4 linked regions of the Ovis aries genome follow. The main gene of each other region encodes a partner of the protein of the gene in region 2 in a complex. Links are inferred from orthologs where the notes say so. Each region holds a gene or a part of one and is shown on either strand. Other genes may lie near its edges.

Region 1 (6,086 bases), on a different chromosome or scaffold from region 2:
ATGTGTAAGTCTGCCACATCACCTATCATATTCTGGTTGATTGCTACATACCTAGGGAACATAGTGCCCTTTTTTATTTTTGCTCTGCTATATTCTTAAAAAAATTAAAAAAAAATTTTTATGTTGGGGTATAGTTGATTGACAAACATAATGCTTTAATATAAATTCTAATCTTATTTGATATTCTACTTCACGTTAACCACCCTCCCCCAAAACTGCTATCAACACTTTAAACAACTTACTCTTTTATTGAGTTATCAAAACTCAATATGCACTTAACTGGGAATGTCTGCCACCTTCTGCCAGACTGGACTATGCACATATATATCTATTATACTAACTGCCTGCTTAGAAAACAGTAACCGTTATTATTATTTAATTATTCCATATAAACCAACAAGGATTTATCCCAAGTAACTATTTGTTTATAAATAATGAGATCAGTAGACTGGTCATACCTATAACATGTGAACATCCAGATATGTAGTTGTATTGAAACATTTTTGTAAGGAGTTTCAGAGGGTAAAGTGTCTGCCTGCAATGCAGGAGAACTGGGTTCAATCCCTGGGTCAGGAAGATCCCCTGGAGAAGGAAATGGCAACCCACTCCAGTACTCTTGCCTGGAAAATCCCATGGACAGAGAAGCCTGGTAGACTACAGTCCATGGGATCGCAAACAGTCGGACATGACTGAACGACTTCACTTCACTCCCTTGGTTGGAGGCTTTAAAAAAAAAAAACAAACCTCTGTTTTGTAATTAAGGACACAACCCTGTGAGAAGCAAATATACTTACTCAGCCAAGGTCAAACAGCTGGTCATGTGTATAGATGGACCTCAGATCTCGTCTTTTTATTCATTCTCTGACCTGGAGACCATGTATTCTAATCTAAAGTGGTTTTGTGCCCGTGAAAGTTGTGAAGTTGTTGCCACTTAGAAGCCAGACCTCACTCTTGCTGTGGCACTCAGTTTAGGTTATCAGAGAGGATGGCGCAGAGGGGACACATTCCTGGTTCTAATCTGCTTCTGGCTCTTTCTGTTGGGGTGGGGGATTTGGGTAGGTACTAAATGGGGAAAACTGGGGTTGGGATTTGTGAGCTTTCAGCTTTTTATGGACATTATTTTAGCCCCTTATGAAAAAGGACCCTCAGACATTTTAAGCCAACAGATGCCTAAGAACCACCTTCTCCATCTGCTTCTGGTTGCCACTGGGGTGAGGGCGGGGGGAAGCCTTAAATTCTCTAAACTTCATTAGCACACATTATTTTTCAGTGGGAAGCATGTCTGGTTTTGATGAGATACCCATAAAGGTTATTAATTTCTGCCAGAACCCAAATGGAGGCATCGCCACAGAGAACTGCTGCGGTTGCAGACCACCTGGGAGACATTCAGAGGTCTCCAGTTGAATGGGAGTTGCTTAGTTCTAGAAAGTGGCCTGGAATTCAGAGGCAACTTAATTGGAGACTTCTCATCCTCCTTTGTCTTTTTGGAACCATGCAGGTGGCTGAAATTTAGGTACATCTGAGAAACACCATAATGTCTAAAGCTGTTCCAGAGCCATCTGCTCAGATCAGTGCAGAAAATAAAATGCCATGGTCAACCAAGCTTTGTTTTGAGCTTGCACCAGAAAAGGAAAAGAAACTGAGGCTAATGTTTCAGTTTTGAAAGTACAGCCATCCTGATTGTAGTGGTGCTGGGTGTGGGTCATGAAAAGCATCAGAATTCAGGCCTGTCTATTATCCCAACCTCTGCAAAGTAACTTTTGTGGTTTCTGAGTGTTCTGAAAGTCACTAGAAGACAAATGTAGCCCAATGTGGCAAGCCCCTGAAATGCCACAACCACTGAAACAGTTTTTGCCCAGCCATGGTTTTCCAGCAGGGGCCTATGTAAGCATGACCCTAGCATTAAATAATCTTTAAACATGTAGGTATTTAACAAGGAAAGATAAAGAAGTGGCCTGGGGAGAGGGGATACGGAGGGGATAGGTAAGTGGATAAAACTACTGTGTGGTCTGGAACTCTGAGAAGATGATTGTTTAACAGCAAGAGAGACTGATGTTATGATCTATTGCAAGTTCCAAAGTTTTCTTTAGTTGTGTGAGCAACTGGGGAGAGATGAGGTGTTGTGGTGTTTTTGTAATCTGTTTTTCTTATTGGTCCGGTTACTAGTGTTTCACAGTCTGTCAACCCATATGGATGAATGGAGCTAGCATCATAAAACTGTCACTGAAGGAAGGTTTTTGAAGCCTGTGATTTGCATCAGAGTTTTAAAAGCAGTGGCTAGGAGGTGTTTGGGTCAGGGGAGGGGAGAAGAGGAGCAACCTATGCTGGAAATGTCTAGGTTGTGTGTTTGTGAATAGTAGTAGTAGGTGGGGGGTTACAAGGAAAGCAGGCTAAGATTTAGGGGGCTGTGTTTGAAAGCAGGGAGGGGCAGGAGCTCCTAATAATAGGGTTCAAATAGCCCACGTTGAGACCTTCACCTCCAGGACTTAGTTCTGAGTCCAAGGAACAATGATGATACGTGTCTAATCCCCCTTTGCACCCTCTCCTCCCTCCTCGAGTCCAGAGCTTGCTGTCATCTTAGGTTGCTATGAAATGAGTGAGTTTTTCTCATTGTTGAATATTCACTTCAAAAATCTGCTGTGGTATTAACTTCAACTGGAAGCTCCACCAGAAAAGGTTTTTCAGTTCTCAAACTTTCACCAGTCATCCCTATGTCCTTATGTCAAACTCCATCCCTCTTATACTTTCTCACCAGTGACTATGCTTTTGTAGCTTCAGAAGTAAAAGCTTCAGGGAGAGGATCCCGGAGATTTGAGCTCAGTTTTCAGCCCTACTGCTCACCAGCTATGAGACCTTAGACCCAGAACTTCTCTGAGCCACATATTCCTTGTCTTAAAGGTGAGGGTGATGCACCTTGATTGCCAAATTCCTTTCCAGTAAAAAACTGGGGCCTCTTGACTATGGTGGATTAGGAAGGATGAGGAGGACAGTTAGGGACCAGTGTTTGAATTCCTCCTCATTTTTTAAGTGTGGCTCTAAAAGGGAGTTAAGACTGGTAGGCTCTCCTGTAGTTTCATCTTCTCTGGTTCCTGTCTTGCCACCTTCTGTTGCCACTGGGCTCTGATCTCTCTCTTCTCAGCGCCCAAGGCTGAGGGCCAGGTGGTGGCCCACTGAGAACGTGGTCTTTTCTTCTGATGCTCCCTTTTGAACACTTTTCTCCTCATTAACACTCCAACCAGGGGATGAAGACGGGAAAGAGAAATGAGAAGATTAATTGGCCTATTTTTTTCTGTTTACAAGCACTCAGATTATGTTTTTGGTTGTGCAAAAGACTAGAATTATTGAGAACATCTCTCTTTTTCTTCCTGTTTTGTGTAAATGTATGGTGGAAGAAAGGGAACCGAGCAAAAGATTTTCTTCTCTGGATTTCATTTATCTACAGTCTCCTTCAATCTACTGTTCTTCTAACATGGCACCCATCCCAGTTAACATGGAAATAAATGCTTACTTCATTTCCATTTGGGCAGTTGCAAATGCCCTACCATTCAGTGAACTGCAGTGGGTGGGCCTGTACTGATGTCTCAGTGAGCTTCCTCTGTTGCACCCCGTGATGCTGCTGAGGAAATGGAGGTGTTCAGTAGACACAGAGTCTGGCCTTACGCAGGTGAGTATTAGCAGTGTCTAAAGTGGAATTCACTGCCTCTCATTCAGTGATATGCCTCCAGAACATGCCAGATTCCTCTGGAGGCATTATTATCAGGCTTTCCTTTGGTTGACAGCTAGCTCCCTTGGCAATTTTCTACATGTCTAAAGGAGGAAGAGGGGGTTGTTAAAACCATCAGAACATTCACAGAAGCCTGAATTGTGAGAATTAGGCAAAATGAAAGAAAAAACAAAATGGTCTCCTTGACCTCCAGCCTACAGAGGCAGTCCCTTAAATTTTTTTGTACTTGTGGTAAGATGTATCAATACATAACATGTATATTTAGCATGTATGACATGTAGACATACCATTTTAGCCTTTTTTAAAGTGTTCAGTTCACTGGCATTAAGTACATTCATAGTGTTGTATAACTACCAGAATATTCTGTATTCATTTCCAGAATTTAAAAAGTCATCCTAAACACACTCTATATCCATTAAACAATAACATCCTCTGTTTTAATGAGGACATCCTCCTCCCACCCCATCCCAGTGTGGTAACCACCATTGTACTTTCTGTCTGTATGAATTTGCCTGTTCTAAGCACCTCATATGAGTGGAATCATACAATATCTGTCCTTTCGTGACTGGCTTATTGCACTTAGTATAGTGTTCTTAATGCTCATCTGTGTTACAGCATGTGTCAGGACTTCCTTCCTTTTTATGGCTGAGTAATAGTCCACTGTATATATATGCCTTATTTTGCTTATCCATGCATCCAGGGATGGGTCCTGGGGTTGTTTCCACCTTGTGGCGATTGTGAATAGTACTGCTATGAACATGGGTGTGTAAGTAGCTGTTTGAATCCCTGCTCTCAGTTCTTTGGGGTATATGCCTAGACCCCCCCTTCATTTTTAGACTCACTAAGATTCATGGAGTACATTTCTAGATAGTATAGGCAACTCCTTTCTTCTAAACTTAAAAAAAATACTCATGGCATCATAGAATTCAACCTCTTTACCTGCCTCCCACTTTAGGACTACCACTATTTTGGGGGTGGAGGATAAATGCCCCAGGAACTCAGAGACTCACTTCTTTTATCCCCAGCCAGAGGATTGCCTTCATCTTGTCACCACCCCCCCACCCCCAACCCGTTGAGGGCAGGGACTCCCTTGGGGTCAGGGTCTGGATATGGGGAGGCCCCAGAGGCTGCAGCACTAGTTGTCACCTGGTGGGGCTGGAGCGAAGGTTTCCCAGGCAGTGGAGGTCTCATCAGGCAGCAGGTGTTCCTGCTGGAAACACCTGGGATGACAGGACAGCTTGAAGGTCAGGAGGTAGTAAATCTGACCTATCTTTTCATAAGGGGAGAAGGGCATGCATCTCATTTGGCCTCCCTTCCCTGCGCTAAGCCCTGCTTACCACCCCCTGAAGGGCCCAAATGAAACAATGGATGTGAAAACACTTCAGAAAGTGTAAAGTACAAATGGGAGGTGTTACTAGAGCTGCCAAGTGCCCCCCACCCCTGCCCCGTAGCTAACCTGGGGGGAGGGAGGGGGGCGCTTCTCAGAGAGTCAACAATATCGCAAGTATCAAACATCACTTTATTATATTAAAACCAAAATTAATGAAAAGATCCTGGCATTCCACATCCTGTCTAACCATTGTTTCTCAGGAAATGCAAAGCTTCACTCATCCAGCTGTGTGTAAATAGCCCTGGAATCTCAGTGGGGTTTTCCCATCTTCCGGGTTTGAAATAGGTGAGAATAGGAGCTCAAGGGAAGCCTTCGTTTCATTTTCCATTGTCAACCCCATACTGAGTCCATCCTCAATCAGAGGAAACAGAAGCTGGCGGGCAGAGGGAGCATTCTCCTGGAACTTGGGCTCTGGTCATCCAGCAGTCTCTGGCTCCTTCTACCAAGAAGACTCCAGGGAGAGAGAAGGGGAGAAGGTGGGGCTGGGGTTTAAATCTGCTAGTAAGCAAGGAGGATGTGATGTTGGCGTTAGGGGTCAGTGGCAAGAATTAATTCTTTGTACATGAGTAGATGTGGGCAGCATGGTGGTGAGGGTCAGATCTCGGAATAACAGAGTTATTTGCCAGCCTTGGAAATGCTTCAGATTCAAGCTTGCTACAGAAACACAGCATTCCTGTACTTTATAAAAGCAAATTAAGAGAGAAATGTCATCCTTGCTCCCATTCTCCTCAACTAGGGACTCTTTACTTGTCTTTGTTGGGCTGATAGTTGAGCTTAGTGAGAACTGTCTCACCCTCTTTGGAACTTTCTTCATCCTGTCCTGGCCAGTCCTGCCTGCCAGTCTGCCCCTTGGTCCTAAGCAGCATAGTAGCCTCCCTCTTGGTATCTAGGACCTTCCACTCCAAGGAAGGCCTCCAGTCTGTCTGTTTCTCCTTCCAGATCCTTGATCTTTGACAGGACAAAGTAAATGCT
Region 2 (5,616 bases):
TCTCTGTTGCCCAGTGTCTTCAGCTGGGTCCTCGCACTGATGGCCACCCCACCCTTCCTTCCTTAGCACTTGGCTGCCGTTGAGGAGAGGAAGATCAAATCTCTGGTGGCCCTGCTGGTAGAGACCCAGATGAAAAAGTTGGAAATCAAACTCCGGCACTTTGAGGAGCTAGAGACGATCATGGACCGGGAGCGAGAAGCAGTGAGTCGAGTCCCCTGGCGGTTGGCGGGGCCCCACCTTGGCAGTGGGCTGGGCCGCAGTTTAGGGCAAGGAGAGCAGCAATACAGAGAACCTGAGGCTGACAGTATCACAGCAGAGCAGACCAGCCCAGACCAGGGCAGGAGGAGCCAGCCTGGGCGGTTAGGGACAAGTGACCCACAGGTACAGCCTGGAGACTGAGGTCCCACAGAATGTCAGCCCCAGGGTCAAGTTTGCCACATCTCCAGGTCCTTAAAGGGTGCTTAGTCCACGGTAGACTTGGCTGTGGAGTGATTGTTGAGTGATTAAACAGGTTTAAGGCATGATGAGAGGGTAAGGGCTTCAGAGCCAGGGGTTAAAGTTGGAAAGGGAACAGGATGGACATGGTGTCGACTCATTTTGATTCTTAGAAGATATAAAAGTAGAAGATAAGGACTCTGATCCTGAACTCCTCAATTGAAGATATCAGATATCCAATATGGAGACGTCAAAGTTGGCTAATGCTTCAAGCATCTGACAAATGAAAATTGAGAGATTTCCAATCAAGCATAAAAATCCTGAGTGAGAGCAGAATAAAGGCCAAAGTTCAGAGGCTAGTGAGGTGATCTGGGAGGGCTTCCTAAGAATTGTGAGTTTTTCTTCAGTTTTGAAGGAGGGAAAGAACATGATTTGACTAGAGGAACTTGGTTGGTTGGTGGGGTAGGGGTTGGTTTCCAGATGAAAGTAATGACAAATTCAAAGCTTTGGAGCTGAAAATGAACAAAGGCTACCACCAGATTAAGTCCACTTGTCCACTGCAGTGAGAAGCCATGTGGGCAGCCAGAAGACCTGGTGGGGGGAACTGGAGAGGGGAGGGGAGGCGAGAACAGCGGAAGCCAAGCACAAGGCTGAGGTTTGGTGTGGGGATCGCCAGAATGGGAGGCTGGGCTTGTCAGAAGACAAAGCAGGGGGCAAGGTGTGTGCCTTTGGGGTCTCCAGCCCCCGGGTGACAGCTCTCCGTCGGCCCGGGCAGCTGGAGTACCAGAGGCAGCAGCTCTTGGCCGACAGGCAAGCCTTCCACATGGAGCAGCTGAAGTACGCAGAGATGCGGGCCCGGCAGCAGCACTTCCAGCAGATGCACCAACAGCAGCAGCAGCCACCGCCAGCCCTGCCCCCAGGCTCCCAGCCTATCCCACCGCCAGGTGCTGCTGGGCCACCCACTGTCCACGGCTTGGCCATGGCTCCAGCCTCTGTGGCCCCGGCTCCTGCGGGCAGTGGGGCCCCTCCTGGAAGCTTGGGGCCCTCCGAACAGCTTGGGCAGGCAGGGTCAACTGTGGGGCCACAGCAGCAGCCACCAGCTGGAGCCCCCCAGCCTGGGGCCGTCCCACCAGGGGTACCCCCCCCTGGACCCCATGGTGAGTGATGGCTTCTGGAACTCTGGCTGAGTGGAGGGGTCCGGGGGAATGTTCCAGTTCCCCTTAGAGGCAGTGTGTGTTAGGTCTGGAGATAAGGGTTGACCTGTTTCTACAGATCCTCCTTCACCATGGCTATTCCCTAAGTCAGCAGGGCTCCCTCCCCAGAGCCAGAGTTTTGGAATTTTGTTCGAAGGATTTATCACTCAGTTCTAGTATCAGGAAAGGGGAAGGTGGCCTAGGAGTGACTGGGTTATCCTCACTGTGTGAGTGAGTTGGTGAGGGAGATTGTATGCCTCCAATCTTCTCCATCTCTCCTCTTCATTCCCAGGCCCCTCACCGTTCCCCAACCAACAAACTCCTCCCTCAATGATGCCAGGGGCAGTGCCAGGCAGCGGGCACCCAGGCGTGGCGGGTAATGCTCCTTTGGGTTTGCCTTTTGGCATGCCGCCTCCCCCTCCTGCTCCATCCATCATCCCATTTGGTAGCCTAGCCGACTCCATCAGTATTAACCTCCCGCCTCCTCCTAACCTGCATGGGCATCACCACCATCTCCCGTTCGCCCCGGCCACTCTCCCCCCACCTAACCTGCCTGTGTCCATGGCGAACCCTCTACATCCTAACCTGCCGGCGACCACCACCATGCCATCTTCTTTGCCTCTTGGGCCGGGGCTCGGATCCGCCGCAGCCCAGAGCCCTGCCATTGTGGCAGCTGTTCAGGGCAACCTCCTGCCCAGTGCCAGCCCACTGCCAGGTGAGAAGGGTCCTGGAGGGGACAAGGGGCGGGAGAGGGCTCCACAGGGTGGACTGGAGGGCAGGTGGGCTCGGGGCTCGGGTACCAGGGCTTCCAGGATCCTTTTTTTGAACGCCGTGGTAAAATTAGAATACAGGAGGGAAGGGCCTCTCTGGCTGTCCTCCACCATTCCCCAGCCTGGCAGCTGGCCCCTGGGATGACGCTGGGGCCTTTCACTGGTGGGTCACGGAGGAGTCCTGTGACACAGAGCATCTCAGTTGTAAACTGGAAAAACGGCTGCTTGTTTGCATGATGACTGCCGTCCCGTTTGCTTGTTCCCGTCACACTCAAGTGCCCCATTTAGAGAGTTCCCTGGAGGGCAGGAGGACAGTTAAGGGTGTAGCAGTTTTCCCAGCGTGTGGTGGGAGAGGGCACTGGGAAAAGAAGTTGTCCATCGGGGGTGCTCTCTCATCTCCCGTCCATTGCATGCCATGCCTGGTTGCGTGTCTGGTGGCCTGGGTCTGTACCCTCTCCCCTGCTCACCTCAGCTGATGCAACTTGCTTCTCTCCACAGACCCAGGCACCCCCCTGCCTCCAGACCCCACGGCCCCGAGCCCAGGCACAGTCACCCCCGTGCCACCCCCACAGTGAGGAGCCAGCCCGACATCTCTCTCCCTCCTCACCCCCCACGGAGATCAAGTTTCCAGGAACAGCCCCGTCCCCACCACTGGGACCCTTCCCCAGCCTGGAGAGTTCGTCACTACGTAAGGAAAGTCCTCCTGCCCCTCCAAAGCCCCCACCGTGCCTGTCAGGGGCATGCATTTTTATATTTGATGATTCAAGGACTTCTGTGGAAAAGATGTTTCTAATGTCTGGGAGAGAAGATAGGATGGGGACGCTGCCCTCAAAGGAAGGGCTGGGCAAAGGTGTTTCTACAAGGTCCTAATTAACCACTGTTAAGGGTACATCCCCACAAAACTACTGCATTTTTTATGGATTGAAAAAAAAAAAAAGCCCTTTAAAAGGAAGTAGAGATTTAAAAAAGCCCTCCAACCAGTGAGAAAAATCCAACTTTTACATTTTTTGGAGGAGGGAGGTGAGTTTTAGGAAAGGGGTATTAGGTTCTGGGGAGAGCTGATAGGATAGGGTGCAGGCTCCGTCTCCTCCGGCCCCTCATTAGTGACCGAGTCAGCTCCCCACCCTCCTCGGCTGCCCCGTTTATTCCCACTCCTCTCTCCTGCTGCTTCCTCAGTGTTGCTGTTTAGGCCACCCCAGCTCAGCCAATGACCCCTTTCCCTCTGAATGTCAGTTTTGTGTTTTTAAAAGTCTCCTGCGTAGTTGATGTCAGAGTATGTCTATTTGGTGGGGAAACGTCTTGGGGATTCCTGTGGTAGGTAGTGGAGGAAGAAAGGGCACGTGGGGCTGTGTGGCCCCCTCCCCGGGCTCTGACTCCCAGAAGATGCGGAGAGGGGAGCACCAAGAGAATGGGAAGTTTTAAAAGCGTGGAATTGTCAGAAAAGCACTTAAGCACCTCCTTCTTATGACGTGGTGGGCCACTCTGTCCCCTCTTCCCTCCCACCACACCCGTCATGGCTGGTATCGGGGAATTCCCTGGGATTTGGGGCAGCAGCTGGGTAGGGATGCCCAACCTAGGGGCATGCCAACCCCCTGATGGCAGCTCGTGGCTCAGCTCTGCACCCCAGATTCCAGTGCCCCCAGTACCAGCTGTCCCTCTTTATCCCTGATGTGATGACAACAGTGATCCCAAGGCTTTCCACCAGTTCTTGGTCCCTCCCACCAGGCCCTTTGTTCCTCTTGTCCCCATGTTTCTCTTCCTCTGCGTCTTGGCACCTTTCTTCTGTTCAAAATTTTCTGTAAATTTTTTTTCTTTCTTTTCCCTTTTTTTTTTATAAATTAATTTGCTTTCAGTTCCATCTTGTGGATGCCTTCTGTGTTCTCTTACCCGTGGCTGTGAGGCAGGGGGATCGGGCTGGAGCATCACCCCAGGAGTCCTCCAGCAGCACTGGGCGGGGCTGGAGGGACGCCCGGCCAACACTGGGCCTCTCTCCACAACGGGCCAAAGGCAGCACAGCTGTCAGGGCTGAACAGCCGTGCAGGAGCTGGGGAGAGGCTCTCACCTGCTCTAAAAATAGCCATTTAAGACTTGGAAGGACACCTCACAACCTGGAAATTTTGTCTATTTATCCTTTCAGTAGTGGTGGCTTCATGTCTTCCCTTATTAGGCGGGAGAAGGCAGGCATCTCAGCTGCTTGTTATTGTTGGCCCTGGGCCTCGCTGAAGTGACAGGCCCAGGCAGTACTAATATGGCCTGACTTTCACTCCAATAAACAGTTCCCGGGCTCCCTGACAAAAGACCTTCCATGCCAGGGAGGGCTAGGAGAGGACTCAGCCCCACATGGGATAGAACAAGGGTGGCCAGCCTTAGTCCTACAGGCATTTATGGCTTTCCTAATCCCCCCAAGGTAGCCTTTGTAGCACCGATGAGTGAAGCCAGCATCTCTTAAATGAGGCAAAAGTGGCTCCTACAGGCCCTTGGCTGGCTTTCCGCAACCTCTGGTCCACTGACCTTTCATCCTGCTCAGGAAGAACAGCAGAACTGCACATAGAGCAGAGAACAAGTTTATTTGGTGAATGCTGATGGTAGACATCATCCAAGAGAGAGAATCTGGGGAAAATACTGTGACAAGAGAACCTAGGAAGCCTCTGGGCTACATACACAATCTCCCACAAGGAAGGTGCAGTGTCCACGCACACTGGGAATATCCTCAGCCATTCAGCACCATGCGGACGAGCTCTGTGGAAAGGAGAGGGGGGTGAACAGGAAGCAGGGCGAAGGGGAGGGGTCCGCCAGGGGCCAGGAGACCACAGACCACAAAGGCAGCGTAGGAAGGAATGTGCCCACGACAACCAACCTTGGGGTCAGTTTGCAGTACTCTCGACCCCCAGCTCCCCTCCCACCAGCTGTTAGTTCCCCCTGCCCCACCCCGAGCAGCAAGAACACAGCAGAGGCAGAAGAGTTCCCAACTACACCTACAGCTACTGTCAGCCACTGGGGGGAGGAGGAGACAGAGTTTTGGGTTAGGGTATCTCCAAGCTGCCCAGCGGAAAGAAGAGAAGACCTACAGCAGCACGGTGGGGCAGGCAACCCACCCTCCCTGCCAACCACGTGATCCTGAGCTAAAGGATCACCATGAAGCCAGACGGGGGTAGGTAGGCTGGTGTGAGTTCCCAGACACCAGCACCCTGGAAGCCAACCAAACCTCAGACCCAGTT
Region 3 (5,640 bases), about 23 Mb from region 2:
GCATCAGGGTGTTTTCCAATGATTTGGTTCCTTGCATCTGACTGCCAAACCACTGGAGCATTAGCTTCAGCATCAGTCCTTCCAATGAATATTCAGGGTTGATTTCCTTTAGGATTAACTGGTTTGATCTCCTTGCTGTTCAAGGGACTCTCAAGAGCCTTCTCCAGTGCCACAGTTCAAAAGCATCAATTCTTCAGCGATCAGCCTTCTTTATGGTCCAACTCTCATGTCCCTACCTGATTACTAAAAAGACCATAGCTTTGATTATATGGACCTTCATCAGTAAAGTGATATCTCTGCTTTTTAATATGCTGTCTAGGTTTGTCCCTTTCTTTCCAGGAGCAAGTGTCTTTTAATTTCATGGCTGCAGTCACCATCGGCAATGATTTTGGAGCCCAACACCATAAAGTCTTTCATTGTTTTCATTTATTGTCATGAATGATGGTCCCATCTATTTGCCATCAGTGATGGGACCAGAAGCCATGATCTTAGTTTTTTGAATGTTGAGTTTTAAGTCAGCTTCTCCACTCTCCTCTTTCACTTTCATCAAGAGGCTCTTTAGTTCTTCTTTGCTTTCTGCCATTAGGGTGGTATCATCTACATATCTGAGGCTGTAGTACTTCTACTGGCAATCTTGATTCCAGCTTGTAATTCATCCAGTCTGACATTTCACATAATGTACTCTGCCTTTAAGTTAAATAAGCAGAGTGACAATCTATAGCCGTGACATACTCCTTTTCCAATTTGAAACCAGTCCATTGTTCCATGTCTGGTTCTACTGGTACCTCCTGATCTGCATACAGGTTTCTTAGGAAGCAGGAAAGGTGATTTAGTATTGCCATTTTTTTCAAGAATTTTCCGCAGTTTGTTATGACGCACATGGTCAAAGGCTTTAACATAGTCAGTGAAGGAAAGTAGATGTTTTTCTGGAATTCTCTAGCTTTTTCTATGATCCAGTGGATACTGGCATTTGATCTCTGGTTCCTCTGTCTTCTAAATCCAGCTTGAACATCTGGAAGTTCTTCATTCACATACTGCTGAAGCCTTGCTTGAAGGATTTTGAGCAATATCTTGCTAGCATGTGAAATGAGCACAATTGTATGGTAGTTTGACCATTCTTTGGCATTGCCTTTCTTTGGGGTTGGAATGAAAACTGACTTTCTCCCATCCTGTGGCCACTGCTGAGTTTTCCAAATTTGCTGGCATACTGAGTGCAGCACATTAATAGCATTATCTTTTAGGATTTAAAATAGTTCCAGTGGAATTCTATCACTTCCACTAGCTTTGTTCGTAGCAATGCTTCCTAAGGTCCAGTTGACTTCACACTCCAGGATATCCGATGCTAGGTGAGTGACCCCACCATTGTGGTTATCCAAGTCGTTAAGATCCTTTTTATACAGTTCTTCTGTGTAATCTTGCCACCTCTTCTTAATATCTTCTGCTTCTGTTAGGTCCATTCCATTTCTGTCCTTTATTGAGCCCATTTTTGCATGAAATGTTCCCTTGGTATCTCTCTTTTAGAAGAGATCTCTAGTTGTTCCCATTCTATTGTTTTCCTCTATTTCTTTGTACTGTTCACTTAAGAAGCCTTTCTTATCTCTCCCTATTATTCTTTGAAGCTCTGCATTCAGTTGGGCATATCTTTCTCTTCTTTCTCCTTGCCTTTCACTTCTTTTCTTTTCTCCGCTAACTGCAGGGCCTCCTCAGACAACCATTTTGCTTTCTTGCATTTCTTTTTCTTTGGGATGGCTTTGGTCACACCCTCCATAACAGAAGAAGCAAGAATTGCAATCCTATGGCCTCCAGAATGAAAACCACATCACAGAAAACTAACCAAAATGATCACATGGATGCCTTATGTAACTTAATGACCCTTATCCGCCACCCTAGATGGTTGGGTCATGGTGGAGAGTTCTGACAAAACGTGGTCTACTGGAGAAGGGAATGACAAACTCCTTCAGTATTCTTGCCTTTAGAACCCCATTGACAATATGAAAAGGCAAAGAGATATGAAACTAGAGATGAGCCCCTCAAGTCAGTAGGCGTCCAATATGCTACTGGGTAAGAGTAGAGAAATAGCTTTAGAAAAGGGGCTGAGCCAAAGCAAAAACAATGACCAGTTGTGGATGTTTCTGGTGGTGAAAGTCAAGTCCAATGCTGTAAAGAAACATATTGTTAGGAACCTGGAATGTTAGGTCCATGAATCAAGATAAATTGGATGTGGTCAAACAAGAGGTGGCGAGAGTGAACATCGACATTTTAGCTATCAGTGAACTAAAATGGACTGGAATGGGAGAATTTAATTCAGATGACTATTATATCTACTACTGTGGGCAAGAATCCCTTAGAAGAAATGGAGTAATTTAATCACTCCATAATTACTACTAATTACCATAATCAACGAGAGTCCAAAATGTAGTACTTGGGTGCAGTCTCAAAAATGACAGGATGATCTCAGTTCCTTTCCCAGGCAACCCATTCAACATCACAGTCATCCAAGCCTATGCCCCAACCACTAATGCCAAAGATGAAGCTGAACAGTTCTTTGAAGACCTAAAAGACCTAGAACTAACACCAAAGATGTCCACTTTATCATAGGGGACTGGAATGCGAAAGTAGGAAGTTAAGAGATACCTGGAGTTAATAGGAAAGTTTGCCCTTGGAGTACAAAATGAAGCAGGGCCAAGACTAACAAAGTTTTGCCAGGAGAATGCAGCACTGGTCATAGCAAACACCCTCTTCCAATAACACGAGAGATGACTCTACATATGGACGTCACCAGATGGTCAATACTGAAGATGGAGAAGCTCTATACAGTCAGCAAAAACAAGACCTGGAACCGACTGTGGCTCAGATCATGAGCTTCTTATTGCAAAATTTACACTTAAATTGAAGAAAGTACAGAAAACCACTAGGCCATTCAGGTGTGGCCTAAATCAAATCCCTTATGATTATACAGTGGAAGTGACAATAGAGTCAAGAGATTAGATCTGAGAGATACAGTAGGGTGGAAAGCCATATGAAAACCCACTTACAAAACGTAAGATGAAATGTTATAAAACAGAAATGTTATAAACACAGACTCAATGAGGAAGAGGAAAACAGCACAGGAAAGGCAGCACACAGACGCCAGCGTCTGAGCTGGATTAGGGAAGGCTTGCAGATGCTCAATGGGCCTCAACCCAGGGAAGATACAAAAGTGTGACATGAAAGACATCTAGGGTGGATGGAATCTGCATGCGGTTCAATTTGGCTAAAATTGATATGCAGCCAAAGAAGGAGTAGGAAGAGAAATATAGTGAGACAGGAAGGAAGAAATGATACTATAAATGCAATTGGGAGATGCTAGTGACAAAACCTTCTTATTTCTTTTCTGAAAAAACTTTATTTTTAATTTGAATGTTAAGAATTTTTTCTTATTCCTCTGTGGGAATACTTGATTCATGAAATATAGTAACTTTCGTTATTGCAAACACTTTTTTTAAACAAGTTTTATTCGCTTTAAATTTACCTAAGTTTTAAAGTTTGATATTAAAGTAATTGCTTCTTTGTAATTGATGCCTCTGTTTTTTTGCTCAGAAAGTCCAGTTGGAATGTAACTACAAGGAATATTAAGATCCAACACAAAGTAAAATAGGAGGAGGAGAACCAAGGTAGATTCGATTAACAGCATGTGAGAAGAGAAAAAGTAGGAGAGAAAAGCACTGTCTGGAAGGCAAGATGCATTAAAGCATGACTTCCCAACTAACGAGCCCAAGTTGAGTCAGCTGAAGATGGAGGAAGAATACTAAAAGATTATTTTCAAGGTTCAAAGGAGACAAATCTACATTTGCTTTCTCAAGAGTTAGAGCTGTTTCCAGTTTCCATAGATTTATAAAATACTAAGTTTTCTCGTAAGTCCAAGAATCTTAGCATATCTATGACTTTGATGGTTTCATCAAAACGGCAATTATCAAACTGAATTCCATTCTAATTCCACATGATTCAAGTAACGAATTCCTTTTTCCTCCTAGTAAACTCCCAAGTGTTCTTTGGTAGACCTACTTTTTCCTCTAAATGCTATGATGAACAAGAAATTTAACTTGAACAAGTTCAAGAACACCTTTTGGTTGTTTCAACTTCCACTTTTGTGGCTTTTAAGAATCTACGACAGTCTACTTTGACATAAGCTTTTGGACATCCAAAAATTGATGAGAAAAACAGTGAATACAATGCAGATATCTAAACTTACAGGTAACAGTAAAATAAAAATTCACTCTGACTACAGAAAACAGATTACTCACCTGCGACCACATTCTGAATATTTACCAATGTTTTTTAATATTAAGGCAGCTGTTAGTCGGATGTGTTTAGTTATTGGTCCCTCTTTTTCATCCTTAAAAAGGAAAAGAAAAGAAAAAGAATAAAGGTCTAAATCATACAGTGTTCACACCTTCACAGTTAAGGCTTCCAAGGCTTACTTACTGTAAAGTCTCGAAAGACAAGATTTCTTGATCCTCTCCTTAGAGCCATAAGGGCAGCACTGGGATGATTCACAATGGCCTTTTGTGCTCTAGGAGCTGAGCTTGTGCCCCCTACAGCTGGCTGCCTAAATATACCAGGGAGAGGAAGAGACTGTTAACATGACAGTTCAGGCAGACTGACAACAAATGACTAACCTGCCAAACCTGAACGTGGTTATCGAGGTAGACACAGCGTGAGTAAAAGCTCTGGTGGCCCAGCAGTAATAATTACTCTTTGTGCCAACTGAGGCAAAAGGGTTCGTGGTCTTTTATTTGCAATCTATCAACTTTAAAGCAAACAACAGATGTCCTAGTACAGCTCATATATATATAAACACAACATAGCTTAAAAGTTGAGTTCATATCTTTGAATGCAATGTAAAGATGTTAACAAAGAATAGTCTACAAGTTGAGCTGCAAATTAGTTTTGCTAAATGGTACCTACAAGTAAAATTTATCTCCTAAGAGTGTACTGGTATATGTATAGGTCACCCAGGAAAAGACAACCTAATACGATAATAACATGAAGTTATGCTAACTACTACATTTCAAACTATTACTATCTTATAGAATTTTTTATTAACCAATTTCAATTAATCATTTCAGTATAGCTCTAATGTCCTTTAGCAAAGATGGAGGGACTGCAGAGACAGAGTTTATAAAAATGAGATTCAAACTACTCTAGGTTTCCTTTGCCACATAGAAAAACTGCATCAGTATCTGGTGTATTCTGCTGAGGGAACAGTGGTGAGAGAACTGGCTCTCAGGGAGAAAGTCCTGTTTCTGCCCCTCACTGGCTGCATGACTTTGAACCATTCAATTTGCCCCTTTGTGCTTCAGGTTTCACATCTGTAAAGTGGGGATATTTCTGGCATTTTTTTACATGAGTAAACTAATTTTGAATACTAAGTTAACAAGTTAACATAAAAGCAATCTCTAAATTGTAAGCTAGTTTGTGTCTATATCTACATATAGATTTCTCTAGATAAAGATCTATGTATCAACACAGATAAAAATTATTATTGACTTCATGTATAAACGACAAAGATTTTTTATTATAATGGATATACCAAAATAACCCTCCAAATTTGAACAAAACCAAACATATTGCAGCATAGTATTATAAGCTACATAGAAG
Region 4 (6,163 bases), on a different chromosome or scaffold from region 2:
GATGAAGTCATCAATTTCTAAAAATTGGCATATAAGGTTGGCATGCCAGGGAAATGGGTCACCGCCCCCCTTCCAGCCCAAATTAAAACCTTATATTACCTAATGTATTAAGCATCACCATTGGGTTAAAGCCCTTTTATAGACAACTAGGTTATCTGGCTATATTATTAGCTGAAATTTATTAGGCAATTGAAAGTTCTGCTTTTACTACATTGCTAGTTTTGTTTAAGATTTCTCACCTAGTTAATAGTTATACTGGCATAACCTCAGGCAGAAAAACAAGTTCTTACAATAGATTCTTCAGGGCATAATATATTCTACTTCTTTTATATGTGTTATCTTTTGTTGTCTTGAGTTTCACTTTGGGATAGATAGAAAATTATGAAGCTCAGGTTAACAAGCAAGTAGCAAAGCCTTAGAAAACTACAAGGTAGGTGATCCTTGACACTCCCAGCCACCTGAAAACGGTGCCCTTGAGGATTCTTCCTCCACCAGCAATGGGCCAACAACATAAACAATTCTTGCCATTTAATGACCCCGTGCAGCATGCTGCAGCAGTGTTTGTTCCACAGCTTCATGCCTTCAACTTATCCACTGCACAATTTTAAGCGCCCTAGAACTGTATTTCAGACCCAGTTGCCCAAATAGAGCCAATTTCGCAACAGTAAAATGGTGTTAAAATAGGATTTTACTCTAGGGGGGAGAAATCTTGAACCAAATAGTCACAGTGCACTTTGCATGAGTAATTTAAACTGTTACATTACAAAATAAGGGCTATGTCATACTTTTAATAACACTACCATATAGGAACAGTTTTAATGTTGAGTCAAGCACCTACATTCATCTAAGTCTAAAATAATAGGCCCCTGATTTAAAATCTCCTAACATTCTTTCACACTTCATAAAATAAAATAAAATTCTCTCAGCAAACGCTGACCTATTCATCCAGCCAAAGTACTGTATTTCAAGGAAAATAGGAAGGAGAGGTCTCAAACCCACCGAGCGCCAGCAGTTTGCTGTCTGCAACCGTAACTGGTCTTAAATGTGGGCTGGGGGTGAAGAGACGTCAGACGGGAGAGAATAAGAGATTTATTACCTATCTTAAATCAAAAGCAGATTCCATGCTTTAACTACCCCCTATCGCCCGCCCGCCCCCAAGAGGTTGTTTTCCTTTGTTTTTTGGTATATATCTCACGGGAAGATGATAGGTGAGGGAAGGTCAAAGTGCTGTGTCTGGTCCACAGAGTCAACACAGGGGTTAGGGCGGGTTTGTTTATTTATAAAGCGTTCAGCCTCTCAGCTGTTTTTCCCTCATTGGCATTTGGAAGCTTGCAGTCCTTTAGAAAAGAGACAGATTTGGCAGGAATGTTCTTTGTGCCCTCCTTCCTTTTTACGGGGGAGAAAAGGAACAGATTGATAATTACAGCCTTGGGTGGGGGGCGGGGTGGGGGAGAAAAAGTTTCCGGCAGCACGTCGATGCCTGTTTTTTTTTTTTTTTTCATGGTCAACACTGTGCTACAAACAGCTTGGGTGCCACTTGGAGCCTTCCCCCCTTCCCCTCCCTTTACCTCCGCAGGCTCGCTCTGGCAGGCAGAGGCACAGTTAAATTCCAGCACCTTCTTCCCATACCCCTAAACTACTACACGCTATTACTACGGCTGCCCTCCCTTTCACTTAGCCTCCTCCGCTTCCCAGCCTCCCACGAGGAGGCCGGCAGGGGCCCCGGAAGACTGCCGGGGAAGGATAACGGGCGTCCAACTCCCTCCATCAGGGCTTGGGGCTTTCCGCGTCCTGCGCAGTTTTTCTGCTCCAGGCACAAACACGGCCAGGGAGCCGGCGCCTTGCAGACACACACAGATCCACGCATACTGTAGAGCTGTCTCGATCCACATTCTTGCATACCGCCCCCTCCTCCCTCCCAGAGCTCCGGGAGTCGCCGAGCGGGGCGAGTGACAGGCGCTTCCCGCCAACCCGCGCCCGGGCGGGCAGGGAGGAGCGGCGCTCTGGACCAACTGCGGCGCGTCTTCCGGCGCCCGCGGAGGCGGTGAGGGTGGGACGCGGGGCGGAGCCGGAGTTTAGGAAGAGGAGGGGATGGCTGTCATCAATGAAGTCATATTCATAATCTAGTCCTCTCTCCCTCTGTTTCTGTACTCTGGGTGACTCAGAGAGGGAAGAGATTCAGCCAGCACACTCCTCGCGAGCAAGGTAAATATAACTTACAACTCCTTTTTCCTCTTTCCCCTCCCTCCGGCCTCCGGGCTGCAGCCGCTGCACAAACCCCTCCGGCACCGCGCCGCCTTCGCCGGGGATTATTCATTATTAACCTAATTATTATTTATTGTGCATGCACGGAGACCAAAACAAACAGGCGGGCCAACCGCCGCAGCAACAACAAAAAAAGCCCGCCTCCTACCCCGCGGGCCTCAGGTGGAATGCTCTTAACGACAGCTCCCGGGCAGCAGTGGAAGAAACGCGAAAGTTTCAACCGAAGCTTGCTGTTCTAATAATAATAGTAATAATTACTACTTCAAGGATGCAAGGGGAGGAAAATCCCAACAAACCACAGCCTTGACCTTAGGTAGGCAATCAGCGATGCGCTGCCAACGGAAGGTTGCAACACACACACACACTCGGCAAGGTTGCAATCCCCTCATTCCCTTAAAAACTGGGGTTGGGGGGAGGAGGTGGCAGGAGGATCGGGAAGAGTATGGAAACGCTAAGGTTCTACTAGAGCAGTCCTCCCGGGAAGAGTTGGAAGGGGAGCGGGAGGAGAGGGCGAGGAGCCCGGGCTGACGGCTGGGCGCCAACGAACGCGGCTGCCACCAGCTTCCCTGGGACTTGTTTAAAGGGCTCCGGCTGCGGAGACAGGAGCTGGTCGCGATGGGAGAAGCCGGAGCTGGCTCGCCGAGGCAGTGGCAGCCACCGCCGCGGGGCCGCTGCGTGCGGGATCGGAGGTGTCACCTCCACTTTGCGAGCAGGGATGGGTACGCTGACCGGTAGGCAGGCCTTTAGGCAAAGGGGCTGCCGGGGGTCTGCACCCGGGGCACTGCGGACGACCCTGCCCCTGGTACCTGGTGGCCGCGCGGGCTCGGGTGTTGAAGTTCGGGGTGTCCAGCCGCGACCACACTGCTGGGAGGGAGGAAAGGAGGGAGGAGGTCCTGAAGAAGGAGGTCGGAGGTGCTCATTGGGCTGTTATCCTGCCCTCCGCCTTCTCGGGTTTGTTTTCTTTTGGTCTGCATCTTCCCCTAGCTTGGGCTGCCGGAACCTCGGGCGTGGGTCGCCGGCGATCATCCGGATGCTAGGGGAGCACCCGGGCCCAGGAGAGCCACGGTGGCTGCGGGCCGGGGAGGCCATGATCCGGATAATCCTCTCTGCCTGACTGTCACAAACAGGACCCGCGCGCACCCTGTGCAGTGGTGTTCGCTGTAGAAGGGAAGGGCTGGCGCGGGGTAGGGGGTGGGGGGGGGGGGGGGAGGCTGGTGAGGGCAGAAGGCGGGGAGACCGGGAGGGAGCCTGCCCCCAGAGATGACACGCACCGCTTCCTTCTTGTTCCCTGCTTTCGAGTTTGCTTTATTCCCATCCCAACCTGGTTTACTCCCTCCTCTGCTTCCCCCTCCATCTCGCCGTGTTCCCTCCTCCCGGTTGCGTTGCAAAACACGGCCATGCCATCTGCAAAGGTGTCGCGATGCACTTCCCCAAATAACCAGTCCGGCGCGCCAGCCCCTAGTCACCCTCTGTCTGCGGGCGCACACCAAGTGGGGCGCCCTGGGTCCCCTGCACCAGGCCTCGCAGCCTGGGCGCAGTTGCACCGCGCGGGGCGGGGCGCAGCAGTAAGGGCTCCAGGGGGACAACCGCTCCTGGGTCCCGACACTCGGACCGGTTTCCGGCACACGCGGGGAAATTGCCTCCCGCCAGTGTCTGCGCACTCGCCCCCGCCTCCACCGCCTGGATTGCATTATTATTTTTATCCTGGTTGCAGTTTGCAGCCGATCCTGGTGAGCCCGGGGCTGGCCGGACTGCTGGTAGGGGGGGTGGTGGGGGTGGCGGGTGGAGGGAAGTTGGACGTGGATCAGGCAGGAAAAAAAAAAGTTTGGCAGGGAGACTAAGGAAGGAGGGAGGGTGGGAGGGGGCGGCGAGCTCCCGCAGCTCGCGTCTCGGCGCCCTCGGGGCCGGCGCGAGTGTGTCTGCGCGTGAGTGTGAGTGTGTGTTGTGCGCTGGGGCCGGTGCGTCGCGAGCAGCGGCGCGGGCAGCTGCTCCTGCTCGTGCCCTGCCCGGGAGCCGCGGGAGGACAAGGCGAGGTTTGGTGGTGGAGGAGTGGTGGGGGTGGCGTGTGCGTGTGGCTGTGAGTGTGCGCGCGCGAGCAGCGGAGAATCAGGAAGTCACAGCAGCGAAGCGCACACAGACATGTTTGATCGCCGTGACATGACGCGCGCGAGGGAGGAAGCGGCAGCGGCTGCGGGGGCCGGGCCGCGGGCTCCAGCGCCGGCCTAGGGCTTGGGCGGGGAGACCCGCTCCCGCCGCTGGCAGGGCCGCCACAGCAGGCTAGGCTAGGCTAGCCCCGCGCCTCTTTTTGTTCCGTGTCCCCCAGGTAAGGAGCCTGAGCCTCCGCCGCCTGCCGGGTGCGGAGCTTTCCAGTTCTTTCCCTCCCGGCCCCCTCCGGTCTCCGGGTCAGGCTTTCTTGCAAAGTCAGGAGGGCGGGAGAAGCCGGCTCCCGGCCCTCCGATCGATCGCGTGGAAAACTTTCCAGCGGGAGGCACCGCGAGGGGAAGAAGGCCTTGCTGGCTGCTGTCCCTTGTCAGTTCTTTCTCCTCCGGGTCCGGAGAGTGGAGTCGCTCTGCCCCGGGGCTGTTGCACATTCAAACTTCAGGCCTTAAACGTGCCTCCAGCTTTTGCCGGATTTACTCCAGAAATTAAATATTCGAAGTCGTCTGCTTGGTCCTGCCAGGCGTTTGGGTTTTTGAAGAGCAGAAGGCAGGCATGGGAGTCGAGGGGGATGGGGGTGTTGTGCAGAATCCATTCCTTCCTTAATGTCTGCAGCGGGTGTTATGTAATTTTAGTAGCACACGGGTGCAAAGCCCATACTGGGCTTCTCCCCTCCTTTGTTTATATAACTTTTGGGAGAGTTTTGCAAGGTCCCCCTCTCCCCTTCCTTTTCTTCTTTCCGTTCTCAACCTAATGGAGCTTGGTGCATTTGAAAAAGTAAAGCGACCTGGGTCAGTATATTATTGAGAGGTGCTATCCTTAATCTCCTGGTTATTATGCAGACTGTGTTCCTAACTGTGTGTGATGTTAGGGCATAAGGAAGACATCTGTATCATCAGTAGCAGAGTTAAAATTTCAACTTCCATTTCAAAGGACTTTTTAATTTACACCTGGATGTGCTGTGCTTGTTGGAAGAGAATGCTTGTAGGCACAGAAAGATTGTTGTTTTCATTACTGAATGGAAGAAAATTTCTATCTAAGCGTGTTAAGTAAGACTCAGAAACCTCTGAGAACTGTACTGAAACAAAAGCCATGCCCAGTGTTAGTTGTGTGTATATACTTAACACTTGCACATTCAAATGTTTCAGTATTATCTTATTTGCAGGACCACTGCCCCAGGCTTGTTTGCCTATAATAGCTATGCTAGGCTTCTAGCTTACCTCTAGCTTCCTGGTGAATTGTTAAGAGGTGTGGCAGAGGTTTGAATCCAAGTTGGTGAATTGTTATGCAGATAAAACACCTTTTTCTCTTTTAGGAATCTAATTGTCCTTTTATTCTCCTAGACAATTTTTTTTTTTTTTAAAGCTTCCTAACAACTTGAGTGTTTGTTGGTGGGAAGAGATTTGGAGATACCATTAGGTATCAAAGATATTTATGGATGTGACTTGAAGTAGAAAAGCAAACCTGTACACAGCCACTCCTCTACCTTGTCGGGGGCATTAAAGAGAAAAGTCAGGTGAAGAATATTGTAAAATAAATCAGAGGAGTTTGGGGTATCTGAACCCTTAAAAAATTGGCAGAGGTGAGAGGGTGCCTCCTTCCATGAAGCTTTTTTCTCCTGAGTGACATCAGTTACATCCCAATTCAGGGACTAGCTGCTCTGTGGGGTTTCACAGAAAATATTCACCACCAGAGTGTGTTCAAAGCAGCCTTAGATCTTTTCTTTTGTTCATTTTTTTAA

What was found.
Region 1: SMARCC2 (region 2) and DPF3 share a complex: the UniProt entries of both Homo sapiens proteins name them as parts of the BAF complex. The link is inferred for Ovis aries from reciprocal best matches to the Homo sapiens genes SMARCC2 and DPF3.
Region 3: SMARCC2 (region 2) and ARID2 share a complex: the UniProt entries of both Homo sapiens proteins name them as parts of the SWI/SNF-B (PBAF) chromatin remodeling complex. The link is inferred for Ovis aries from reciprocal best matches to the Homo sapiens genes SMARCC2 and ARID2.
Region 4: SMARCC2 (region 2) and SMARCA2 share a complex: the UniProt entries of both Homo sapiens proteins name them as parts of the BAF complex. The link is inferred for Ovis aries from reciprocal best matches to the Homo sapiens genes SMARCC2 and SMARCA2.

Annotation. Positions count from the first base shown.
Region 1 is NC_056060.1:82,480,929-82,487,014, reverse strand, and holds the start of DPF3 (zinc finger protein DPF3), read left to right. Parts: upstream 1-2,348; 5' UTR 2,349-6,086. UniProt on the Homo sapiens protein: Belongs to the neuron-specific chromatin remodeling complex (nBAF complex).
Region 2 is NC_056056.1:163,374,226-163,379,841, forward strand, and holds the end of SMARCC2 (SWI/SNF complex subunit SMARCC2), read left to right. Parts: intron 1-66; coding exon 67-201; intron 202-1,210; coding exon 1,211-1,592; intron 1,593-1,920; coding exon 1,921-2,343; intron 2,344-2,896; coding exon 2,897-2,973; 3' UTR 2,974-4,256; downstream 4,257-5,616. Other genes in the region: MYL6 (myosin light polypeptide 6), read right to left, coding at 5,109-5,137. UniProt on the Homo sapiens protein: Involved in transcriptional activation and repression of select genes by chromatin remodeling (alteration of DNA-nucleosome topology).
Region 3 is NC_056056.1:140,601,060-140,606,699, forward strand, and holds part of ARID2 (AT-rich interactive domain-containing protein 2), read right to left. Parts: intron 4,589-5,640; coding exon 4,465-4,588; intron 4,376-4,464; coding exon 4,284-4,375; intron 1-4,283. UniProt on the Homo sapiens protein: Involved in transcriptional activation and repression of select genes by chromatin remodeling (alteration of DNA-nucleosome topology). Required for the stability of the SWI/SNF chromatin remodeling complex SWI/SNF-B (PBAF).
Region 4 is NC_056055.1:70,273,423-70,279,585, forward strand, and holds the start of SMARCA2 (probable global transcription activator SNF2L2), read left to right. Parts: upstream 1-2,081; 5' UTR 2,082-2,205; exon of another isoform or gene 2,206-2,578; intron 2,579-3,924; exon of another isoform or gene 3,925-4,022; intron 4,023-4,206; exon of another isoform or gene 4,207-4,588; intron 4,589-6,163. UniProt on the Homo sapiens protein: ATPase involved in transcriptional activation and repression of select genes by chromatin remodeling (alteration of DNA-nucleosome topology).